2 linked regions of the Schizosaccharomyces pombe genome follow. The protein of the gene in region 1 interacts with the protein of each later gene in a biochemical or structural test. Each region holds a gene or a part of one and is shown in the gene's direction. Other genes may lie near its edges.

Region 1 (5,649 bases):
TAGTCTTTTGTTTACAAGCATAATTCTTGCACTACGTGAAAAGTGAAAAGTAAGGCTACTATATATAGTAACGGAAAAACAAAAACTGAAAATATAACACTAACTGTTCTTGAGGTTGCAAAATATTTTTAGTTAACTGCAGAAGTACTCTCACTTTCCATGATTTCGTATCTTTCAGAAATCTTAGTTATGCTTAATGTAAAGTAACAATGCTTGATTTTGTTACTTGAAGGGTGTTAAATAAATCACGAACTTGCATTATTCATACATTAGAAAAAACAACCAAAATACTACAAAAAGTAGTCTTTTTGAGCTAGCCATTCTAAGAATAAGAATTCGCTTGATTTAAATCTCCCAATTGCCTCTACTCAAAGTTGTATAAGTATTGTTTAGCATGTCTCTTGAAGAGAATGTAAAGGAAGCGAAAAACGCTTTTAACATTTTACAGACATTATCAGTGGAAGACCGTGATGATGCATTGGATAAAATAGTTGAAGAACTGCGCATAAAAAAGTCAGAGGTTCTAGCTGCAAATGCTGAAGATATGAAAGCAGCTAAGCTCTTGGCTGAATCAGGAAAACTAAGTTCATCGATGGTTAAAAGATTGGATCTGTCTTCATCTGATAAATACGATTCCATGGTACAGGGTGTTTTAGATGTTAAAAGTTTGCCTGATCCCCTTGGTCGTGTTACTTATGCTCGTAGTCTTGACGATGGTTTGGACCTTTATAAAGTCTCTTGCCCTGTAGGTTTATTGCTAGTCATTTTTGAAGCTAGACCTGAAGTAATCATTAATATTACTTCCCTGGCTATCAAATCTGGTAATGCTGTTGTACTTAAAGGAGGCACGGAATCAGCAAAGTCTTTCGCTGCACTTTCTAATGTTGTTCGCTCTGCCTTGGGCAAAAGTAAGGTTCCACAGGCTGCTGTGCAGCTTGTTCAGAGTCGCGAGGAGGTATCACAATTATTAAAATTGGATGAGTACATAGATTTGGTTATTCCCCGCGGCAGCACTAATCTTGTACGCCATATAAAAGATAACACAAAAATTCCTGTTTTAGGTCATGCTGCAGGACTATGCTCCATGTACGTCCATGAGGATGCTGATATGGAATTGGCTAGTAAACTTGTTCTGGATGGAAAAACTGATTATCCAGCAGCATGTAATGCAATTGAAACTTTGTTAATTAACGAAGCTGTTTTATCTTCTCATCTTCCTAAAATTGCTGAAACTTTAACTGAAGCAAAAGTTACATTAAAATGTGATCCCGCTTCTCTTAAGGTTTTAAAGGATATGCCAAAAGTTAGTGCTCTAGTTGAACCATCTGTCGATCAAGATTACAACACTGAATTCTCTGATTTGATTCTTGCTATTAAGACTGTACCTTCCTTACAGTCCGCAATGCAGCATATAAATACACATGGTTCTAAACACACGGATTGCATTATCACTTCTAGTGAAGCAGCTGCTAACAGATTCATGGCTGGAATTGATGCTTCTGGTGTGTATTGGAATGCTTCAACCAGATTTGCCGATGGTTTTCGTTATGGTTACGGTACCGAAGTTGGCATCAGCACCAACAAAATTCATGCTCGAGGACCAATGGGTCTTGATGGGTTAACTATTTACAAGTACCAACTTAGAGGAAATGGTCAAGTTGCAAGTAGTTATGGAGTTGGACCTGGCAAACGCGCATTTAAACATACCCCTATTAATATAGACAATATTTCTCAGGTTTCGAAAAAATAAACACAAAAAAGATTTGAAAATTATGTGAAATTGTCAACGTTTTGGCTAGCTGCATTTTGGATACAAATCGGTTAGGCTTTTTTTGTTTACTTGTTTGTCTATAATATTTAAATGGGAGTTTCAATAATGTGAAGTTATTAAATGAAGAGTAAACACCAAATTAAATAGATAACTATTCCTGTAGAGTTCGATCCACCACCTTTAGTTTTTATTACACAAATATTTTTATGGTGAAGAACGAATTGATGTCTCCGTCCGTCTTTTTTGACTATTCATTTCAATTCAGATTCTAAAATCTTCGTAAGCTAAGATTCTTGGCTTCAGTTAGTAGCGTCGTAATATTGAACAGGGAGGGTTAGGAAATGCGCGGAGCTTATCGCAAGCGATCGTTGAAGTTATATAACAAACTGCAGAAGTACTTGCTTTTCCAGTATCGCAGTTTAACATATTTTTATCGGATTATACCTTAGCTGGCAGTAGTCCTATAATTAAAAAAGCATAATAGGACTTGTCATTTACCATATCCGATTTATCACTGTCTCATTTCTGTTTTGCATGTCTTGTTAATTCATGTTTTAAGCGATTGAATTTCAATCTTTTAACAATTTCTTTTTGTTAATTAATTCGTTGACCTTGTAGTTGATTCTAATTAGTGTAAAAATTCCATTTATTGCAACATTTCTTTCAATATGGATAAGAATGATTACTTACACTTTGAACGGAACCCTTCATTATTTCCGAAATCAACTTTAGACAAAGTCCAAAAGACAAAGAAATATATTGAACATTATTACAAGGTGGCAGTTGATCATGCTGTAGAGCGCAACCAAAGGTACGAGTAGCATTACTATTCAGGGTTCTAGCATTGTTTCACATTCCTCAATTAGTATTCCCATCTTATACGTTGATCGGATAAGTATCAAAGACGATGCTTTTATTAATTCTTTCTCCGTTCTCAACTTCGCGTGTTGCAGTAAATGCATAATCTCGAATGTTTATAAAATCTTAGACAGCTTACTCATCTTGTTTCGAAAATGTTAATTAATAATGCTAGCTTCCGTTTAATTTACTTTTAGGTATAAATACTAATTCTCTTTAGACGTATCAATTTGGAGCAACGATTAGCAACCGAAAGGGGTTCTGAGGAGAGAAAGAATAGGCAGTTAAGAGCATCTGGTGAAAAAGAGTCTCAATTTCTTCGATTTCGTCGTACACGGCTTTCTTTAGAAGATTTTTCTACCATCAAAGTTATTGGGAAAGGTGCATTTGGCGAGGTACGTTTGCATAATTGTTTATGTTTTTGGTATCTAATTAAATAGGTTCGGTTGGTTCAGAAACTCGATACGGGTAAAATCTATGCCATGAAATCTTTGCTTAAAACTGAAATGTTCAAACGTGACCAGCTGGCTCATGTCAAAGCAGAACGCGACTTATTAGTTGAATCTGACTCCCCATGGGTGGTGTCATTGTATTATGCTTTTCAAGATTCACTGTATCTTTACTTGATTATGGAGTTTTTACCAGGCGGTGATTTGATGACCATGCTAATAAATTATGATACTTTTTCAGAAGACGTTACTCGCTTCTACATGGCTGAGTGCGTTTTGGCTATAGCTGATGTTCATCGAATGGGTTATATTCATCGGGATATAAAACCGGATAACATACTGATTGACCGGGATGGCCATATAAAACTTTCTGATTTCGGACTTTCCACTGGTTTTTACAAGCAAGATCAGAGTGCCTCTTACATGAAACCTCGCACAGGAAATACTGTCAAACGTGGTCAAATGGTAGATGCTATCTGGCTTACAATGTCTTCCAAGGACAAAATGGCTACTTGGAAAAAGAACCGTAGGGTGATGGCCTATAGCACTGTGGGTACTCCTGATTATATCGCTCCAGAAATTTTCTTGCAACAAGGGTATGGTCAAGATTGTGATTGGTGGAGTTTAGGCGCTATCATGTTCGAGTGCTTAATTGGATGGCCTCCCTTTTGCAGTGAAAACTCTCATGAAACTTATCGAAAAATCATCAATTGGCGTGAGACTCTGACTTTCCCAAATGATATACATTTAAGCATAGAAGCTCGTGATTTGATGGACCGACTTATGACAGATTCAGAACACAGATTAGGTCGTGGCGGTGCTATTGAAATAATGCAACATCCTTTCTTTACTGGAATCGATTGGGATCATATACGAGAAACTGCAGCTCCATTTATTCCGAATTTGAAATCTATTACCGATACACATTATTTCCCTGTTGATGAGCTTGAACAAGTTCCTGAACAACCTGTCACACAACAACCTGCTTCTGTTGACCCTCAGACGTTGGAACAAACCAATCTGGCATTCCTTGGGTACACTTACAAAAAATTCAATTATTTAACGATGAAAGGAGCATTGTAAGACTTCTGCAAGAAACTCCATAGCTACTTTGTTCATTGTCCTTTGAGCATCTAACTATTGTTATCGAATTTTTTTTATCGTTAATTCATGTTTACCTTCTTTTACATTATTTTAGCATAACTAATAATATTACCAATTACTTTTTTTTAATGTTGTCCCTACTGATAAAATCTTACATGCACTTCTGTAAATATTAAATTCGTTGCATAAGAATTCCAAATTAATGCATAGATTTTATTAGGGAAAAGATAAAAAAGAGTGAGTAAAAAACATGTATTAATAAGTACAACAGGATGTTAACGCCAAGAAAACCAACCAAAATAGTAAACAATAATTATGAAATGCGGATCATGACCCATAACTAATAGACAATTTCTAATTGAACAGTGGGAACCCCAGAATTTTAACATTTTACCAGTAAACTGACTATCGTCTAAAGAAAGTTTCATATACTAGAATTGGATTAATGAATTAAATGCCTAATCTCGGCTTTTTAAATATTGTTCAATTTCATCGACAGATGGTGCATTGGCTTGTAAAAACTCACCGCTCTCTTGCTCAAACCGAGAGCGGACAAAGGCATCGTTTTCCATTTCCACAAATATGTCGGTGTCCGTAGGACGTAAAGTCCTTCGTAACATTTGGGCAACAATATCAATTGTTAAAGCACAAACCATTACAAAAAGCATAGTAAGCCACCATGAAGGATTTTTGCCAAAATGATGGAGAAACTGTGATCTAGCAAGATATAAATTCTTGTCCGGATAATGCTCGCTTATAAAGATATTAAATAAAAACCAAGCCAAGGACGTTAAAACAAGTACTATTATAGAAATGATGTTTATGTATTGCATCTCTATAAAGACCAATTTGAAATTCATGATAAAAATAGCAGCAGTAAAAATGAGTTGACCATAAGCGAAGATATTGTTGTCATTAAGTTCCTTCATTCCAAATAAACTATACGTAACATAGAAAACTAAGAAAGCTTGAATGAAGGCTATTGAACACCACCCAAAATACACTCGCCAATTGAATGCTTCATTGTTGATTCCCTTTTGATAAAGCTCCGGGACAGCGATTACGGTACTAGCACTTAAGTCTTTTTCAAAAATACCCAGCCCAATAACACATAACGAAGAAAATAGTGTATTAAAGCAAGTAAGTCCCCAGCTTTCGTAAAGGCTCTGCCCTGTGTAGCCAACAAAAGGTTGCATGATAGCTTGCATCAAAAAGAAAAACTGTTCTTTATAGAAGGTACCGAGAATATACTTTGATAATCTAACATAGCTCCATCGGCCATGACAGAATAATAACTTAATTAGGAATTTAAATCGACCTATCGAAAAATCCGATGATCTAGCAGCTTGAAGACCCTCACGACCAGCAATTCCAATACCAACATGGGCTTCTTGAATCATAGCAATGTCATTAGCACCATCGCCAATAGCTAAAGTGACAGCCTTTTCGAGAGTATTACGCACTTTT
Region 2 (5,597 bases), on another chromosome or scaffold:
AACATAGTGGACGAACTTCATTCCTACCTATTGCAAATTGGAGATATGAAAATCCGTTTACTTGGTCTTGGAGGTCCTTATGTCCCTTTTAAGCTTTTTGACAATGGAGACGGTAAAGGAACTATTGCTGGTGGCCAGGGTACTATGTGGACTACAATCCTTCAAATGGGTGAACTAATAGAAACCGCTAAGAGCCTGCTTGACAGAGAGGAGGCACGTATTTTTATTACGCATCATCCCATTGGAAGAGAAGGTGTTCTTTCTCAATTAGCTACTGCTTGCCAGGCTGACCTGACTTTATCCGCCGGTCTTCATTTTCGTTATGGAGCTAGCTACAATGAGTTTTGCGTAAATCATAGTCCTGAACATTATCTTCAAAAACTTTCGGCTGCCCGTGCACAGTTTATGGAAGTGTATGACACTGTTAAGGCTGAGGTTGAGAAGATGGTTACCCCTGAACAACATCATCTAATAAACAATGTTGTTCGCCTAGTCTCTCGCATGCCCGATGCAACTAACTCATATGCTATGAATAACATGCTTCCCGGCACTGCTTTTAAAAACCTATGGAACTTCAATTTATTAGATGCTTCCTTTGGATGGACTGTTTTTGTCGTCGAAAATGGGCATGTTCAAGTGGAAAGCAAATCTCATGGCTTTAATTTAGGCTATCGTCGCATGGCTTCACGTCGTAACGAAAATTATGCATCTCACATTCCACGCTCAACTTCGGAAAATACCGGTACCTATTATTACGCTAACAATAGGTTGGTGGAATCTCAAGCACAGTTTACCAAGAACAGAGAAGCTACGGCTACACCAACCGAAGAAGAACAGATTGAAGGGTACGATCAGGAACATACTGATGAGCTAGGAATGTCAAGAGCGAATACTACAGAAGAGTCGGCTGAGACTCATGAAGTAATCGAAGAGAAGTCGGGACCACCTGCTGCCGAGGAAGAACCCATTTCTGGCGTAGCAGAGAAGCCTAGTCCTAATGAAGAAGAACAACCAGCAATTGGAGGGAAAGAGGAAGTTGACGTTGAAGAGGTGACTAAGGGTACTGGAAATCTCGAGCTAGGTGAGACGACTACAGAGGTTACCATACTTGAACAAGAGAATGCTGCAAATGTTACAAGATCTCAAGCACAAGAAGGTAGAAGAACTGATATGCAGAAGGGCAACGATCGTGAATTCCGTCAATATAGTGGTGAGCAGCGTTATGAACGTTGTGGATTTCATATTACCCCTTGCAATTCTGAAGAGGAAGCCCGTTCTTACTTTAAGGACGGGACAGACAGCCTGATTACGAATATTCAAATTCGTACTTCACTCAATCGTTACAAAAGTCCCCAAGCTCCTCAAAACGTAAACCCCACTAACTATGCATATGTATTTGTTGAAAACCAGAATGCTGTTTCAAAGGCCCTTGGAAGCATCAAAGTTCCAGAAGGTGTGCGGGTGAATATCATGCGTGATGATTCGTACTATCGTCAAAATAGAGGATGGTATCGAAATAACCGGATGGAGGGACATGGAACTGGAATGCGTACCAATCGTGGACGTGGACGAGGCGGCCGAATGAACAGAATGCAGCATCCTCGTCCATTACAAAGCGGTGGAAGTGTCAATAAACAAAGCGCTGAACCTACTACCCATGGTTAATGATGAATATTTTTTGCACTGTTTTCAATGCTGTTTTAGAACTGATTTTTATACCATCTTTTCACCTTTTTACTGATGTTAATGCAAAAGTTTACCTCATGAATGATGAAGTTTTCATGAAATTTATCTGACGCACTCATTTACCTCAATAACTGCGAAGCCAAAATAACTGATATGACTCTTTTAAGATATCTTTTTCGAATTCGGTTGTCATTGACAAAAGGGTGCTTACTTTACTTTCTTTCATATCGACTTTGTTTAGAAATAATAAAGTGATTTTTGACAAGATTGATTCGCAGAAAACTATATAGTAAAAATAATTAATTACTTTATGCTAGAATAGCAGTTATTAGCCTTTTCTTCTTAGAAAAGATGTAAGTTTTAATAGATCAAATTCATTAATTAAATAACCAAGTTGAAATTTAAAACACTCACAAACAATAAGCTAGCTACTCAACTAAACAATTTTTTTTTGTTTTTGCAACACAAGGTCCCAACCCTTACCGTATGTTATTGCGGGATGGCCGTATTCCACAGTACAGTATTTACCCATTGCCAGTTCCGCCGATGAATTCTAAAACGCCCACTCTAGGAATAGTTTGTTCAGAGGGGACCATTTCCTTGTCTTTGGAAGAGGGTTTTGAGTTTGTTGGAGTTCCGTTAAGTGGTGAAGGTTTAAAGCTACGAGTTGAAGCTCTAGCTCCGTCAGAGCGTTTGCAGGAATTCCTCGACGATGAAGTAGCTTATCACCCTGAGGGTATGTTTCAAATTTGAAAGAAAATTTATATTAACCAATTTTACTATAGAAAATGTGCACAAGGTGGTCGGTTTATCCTCAGCTTGGCTGGAGTTAGATTCTGAAGACACACTAATCGCTGATCGATCAGAAGAAGTGTTATTAAAGGAAGCATCATATGCTTCTTATTGTGGGTTATCTTCAATCATCCTAAATGGTCCAACTTCACCAATGAACGTTATGCGTTATGCGAGAGCTGTATCTTCTGCTTTAAACTCAACAATGAATCTAAAATTCTTGGTACAATTGGCAATCGAAAGTGGTCATGAAGACTATTTTGAGACATGGAAAATGTGGGACACAATTCGCTCAGCATGTGGTTATCACCCTAGATTGAAGGTGGCCTTAGAGCTACCTCCCGCTTGTTCACCCCCAATCGAGCTAGTAAATCGATGGTACGCGGAACCGATAGAGATGATTACTATGTCATGTATGGCTTTCGTTCCTAATCCCAACGGCTATCCAGTACTTGGTCGTAAGTTGAGGGCTATTTATGCTTTATATCTACGTCTCAATCCTCGAATTTTACTTTGGGATAATGACGCACCCGAGAAAATAGGTGATTCCCCCGACTACAGCATATATATGAAGCACCTCTTTGATTCACAGCCTCCAGCTCCACTTGTAGAAGATCTCGCGGATTCTTATAAAGACTATCTGCAAGTTCCTCTTCAACCATTGAGCTACAATTTGGAAAACATTACTTATGAAATATTTGAGCGAGATCCCGTTAAGTACGCCCAGTATGAGCAAGCAATTTTTTCTGCGTTGATGGATAGAGACGAATCTTCTGTCACGCGAATTGCCGTTGTGGGTGCGGGAAGAGGTCCATTAGTCGACTGTGCTTTACGTGCGGCAATTTCTTCATCTAGAACGGTTGATATGATCGCCCTTGAGAAAAATCCTAACGCTTTTTCCATGCTATTGATGAGAAACCGCCAGGATTGGGCTGGCAAAGTTACTCTAGTATTTGGAGATATGAGAACATGGAATCCTGATTATAAAATTGACATCCTTGTTAGTGAACTTTTGGGTAGTATGGGAGACAATGAACTTAGTCCGGAGTGTCTAGATGGTGTACAACATGTGCTTGATGAAGAAACTGGGATATGCATTCCATCTTCTTACATCTCCTATGTTACTCCTATTATGTCTCCTAAGCTATGGTCTGAAGCTCGTAATATGAATGACCCAAATGCTTTTGAAAGACAGTACGTGGTTTTAATGAACTCATTTGACTTTTTGGCTGCAGATGATGAGTTCCGTTTTCAGTCCCTTTGGTCCTTCCATCACCCAAACAAAGATAGTGAGGTTTATACTAAAAACTTGCATAACAAACGTTTTGCTAGTGTTCGTTTTCAGGCCTCTAGTCCTGGAATCCTTCACGGTTTTGCAGGATATTTTGAAGCTACATTATATAAGGATATTTCTCTTTCAATTATGCCAGCAACTATGGAAGCGAAGTCTCCTGACATGTTTTCATGGTTCCCTATTTATATGCCCATTAAGGTAAGTTACTATATTTTACGTTGCACTGTATACTAATATTTCCTAGAAACCCATGTACGTCCCAGAAAACAGCCAATTGGAATTTCACATGTGGCGATTGACGGACGGTATGCGGGTTTGGTTTGAGTGGTGTGCCAATGCCTATCTGGTGTTGCGGAATGGAAGTCAAATCAAGTTGTCTTCTACGGAGGTCCACAACATTTCCGGAAAAGCGTTCTCGTGTAATATGTATTAAAAATTAATAGTCCTTCTTTTACATTATTGTTTATGGTTTAAAACGGGTCTTCAAACCATTTTTTTGGAGTTTTGATTATAAAAATTTTTTGGATTTAGTTAAATCTGAATTTAACAAAAGTCGATTAGTTTTAGGATAGCTGTTACAATCAAGATTTTGCTGAGAAAGAAGGAGTAATGCTCCTATACTTATTGTCTTAAACGATTTGCCAGAATTTTAACTATTGTTCTTAAACATTCCTTTTTACACAATTAATTAACAGGCAAATTCATTCAACTGAAATACCCTGTCATTTGCTTACTATACTAGTTAATTAATTTTCATTAATGTATTATATTAGTCCGAACTTGAAAATTAACAACGCATTGCGTTATGCCACTCAATTTTATATAACGAATGTTAAGATAGATGGTTTGTTGGAAAATTCTTTAACTGCTTGTAGTACGGAGTATGCACTGTGTTCTTCGCCATTTACAGAATTGTGGGAAGGGTTTATATAAGGGCGATTTTCGACTATGGAACCAGCTCAGAAGAAACTAAGGCAAGAGTCAAAGAACCCGTATTTGGCACACTTAAACAATGGTGATGATTCTGAGGAAGTTGTTTCTTCGAAAGGGTTGACGCGACGTGCTACGACTGTTGCACAAGCAGCTAAGGCTGAAGAAGGACCAAACAATTTTTTTAATGATAAACCTTTTAGTCAAAATTATTTTAAGATTTTGGAAACTCGAAGAGAGCTTCCTGTATACCAGCAAAGAGAAGAATTTCTCAAAATTTATCACGAGAATCAAATTATTGTTTTCGTTGGTGAAACTGGTTCTGGTAAAACAACACAAATTCCTCAGTTTGTTCTTTATGATGAATTGCCTCATTTAACAAATACACAAATTGCATGTACTCAACCACGTCGTGTTGCAGCTATGTCCGTTGCAAAACGTGTCGCTGACGAAATGGACGTTGACTTGGGCGAGGAAGTTGGTTACAACATTCGTTTTGAAGACTGTAGTGGACCTAACACTCTGTTAAAATATATGACAGATGGTATGCTTTTGCGTGAAGCCATGACAGACCATATGCTCTCTCGTTATTCTTGTATTATTCTTGATGAAGCACATGAGCGTACCTTGGCAACTGATATTTTGATGGGTCTAATGAAGCGTTTGGCTACACGTAGACCCGACCTTAAGATTATTGTCATGTCTGCAACTTTGGATGCTAAAAAGTTTCAAAAATACTTTTTTGATGCTCCCCTTTTAGCTGTTCCAGGTAGAACTTACCCTGTTGAAATTTATTATACCCAAGAACCTGAGCGCGATTATTTAGAAGCCGCGCTTCGTACAGTGCTTCAAATTCATGTTGAAGAGGGCCCCGGTGATATCTTAGTGTTCCTTA

The links. The genes of interacting proteins can lie anywhere in the genome.
Region 2: the proteins of orb6 (region 1) and skb1 form a complex in vitro, tested with the Schizosaccharomyces pombe proteins (one study listed by BioGRID).

What each region holds. Positions count from the first base shown.
Region 1 is NC_003424.3:1,006,000-1,011,648, forward strand, and holds orb6 (serine/threonine protein kinase Orb6), read left to right. Parts: upstream 1-2,263; 5' UTR 2,264-2,439; coding exon 2,440-2,582; intron 2,583-2,849; coding exon 2,850-3,024; intron 3,025-3,069; coding exon 3,070-4,161; 3' UTR 4,162-4,319; downstream 4,320-5,649. Other genes in the region: gamma-glutamyl phosphate reductase Pro1, read left to right, coding at 395-1,750; dnf1 (P-type ATPase), read right to left, coding at 4,641-5,649. UniProt on the Schizosaccharomyces pombe protein: Interacts with pak1/shk1 and coordinates cell morphogenesis with the cell cycle. It is essential for maintenance of cell polarity and is involved in mitotic control.
Region 2 is NC_003423.3:2,275,043-2,280,639, forward strand, and holds skb1 (protein arginine N-methyltransferase Skb1), read left to right. Parts: upstream 1-2,212; 5' UTR 2,213-2,232; coding exon 2,233-2,422; exon of another isoform or gene 2,423-2,471; coding exon 2,472-3,970; exon of another isoform or gene 3,971-4,016; coding exon 4,017-4,205; 3' UTR 4,206-4,582; downstream 4,583-5,597. Other genes in the region: SPOM_SPBC16H5.12C (uncharacterized protein), read left to right, coding at 1-1,665; ATP-dependent RNA helicase Prp43, read left to right, coding at 4,721-5,597. UniProt on the Schizosaccharomyces pombe protein: S-adenosyl-L-methionine-dependent protein-arginine N-methyltransferase that can catalyze both the mono- and symmetric (type II) dimethylation of the guanidino nitrogens of arginine residues in target proteins.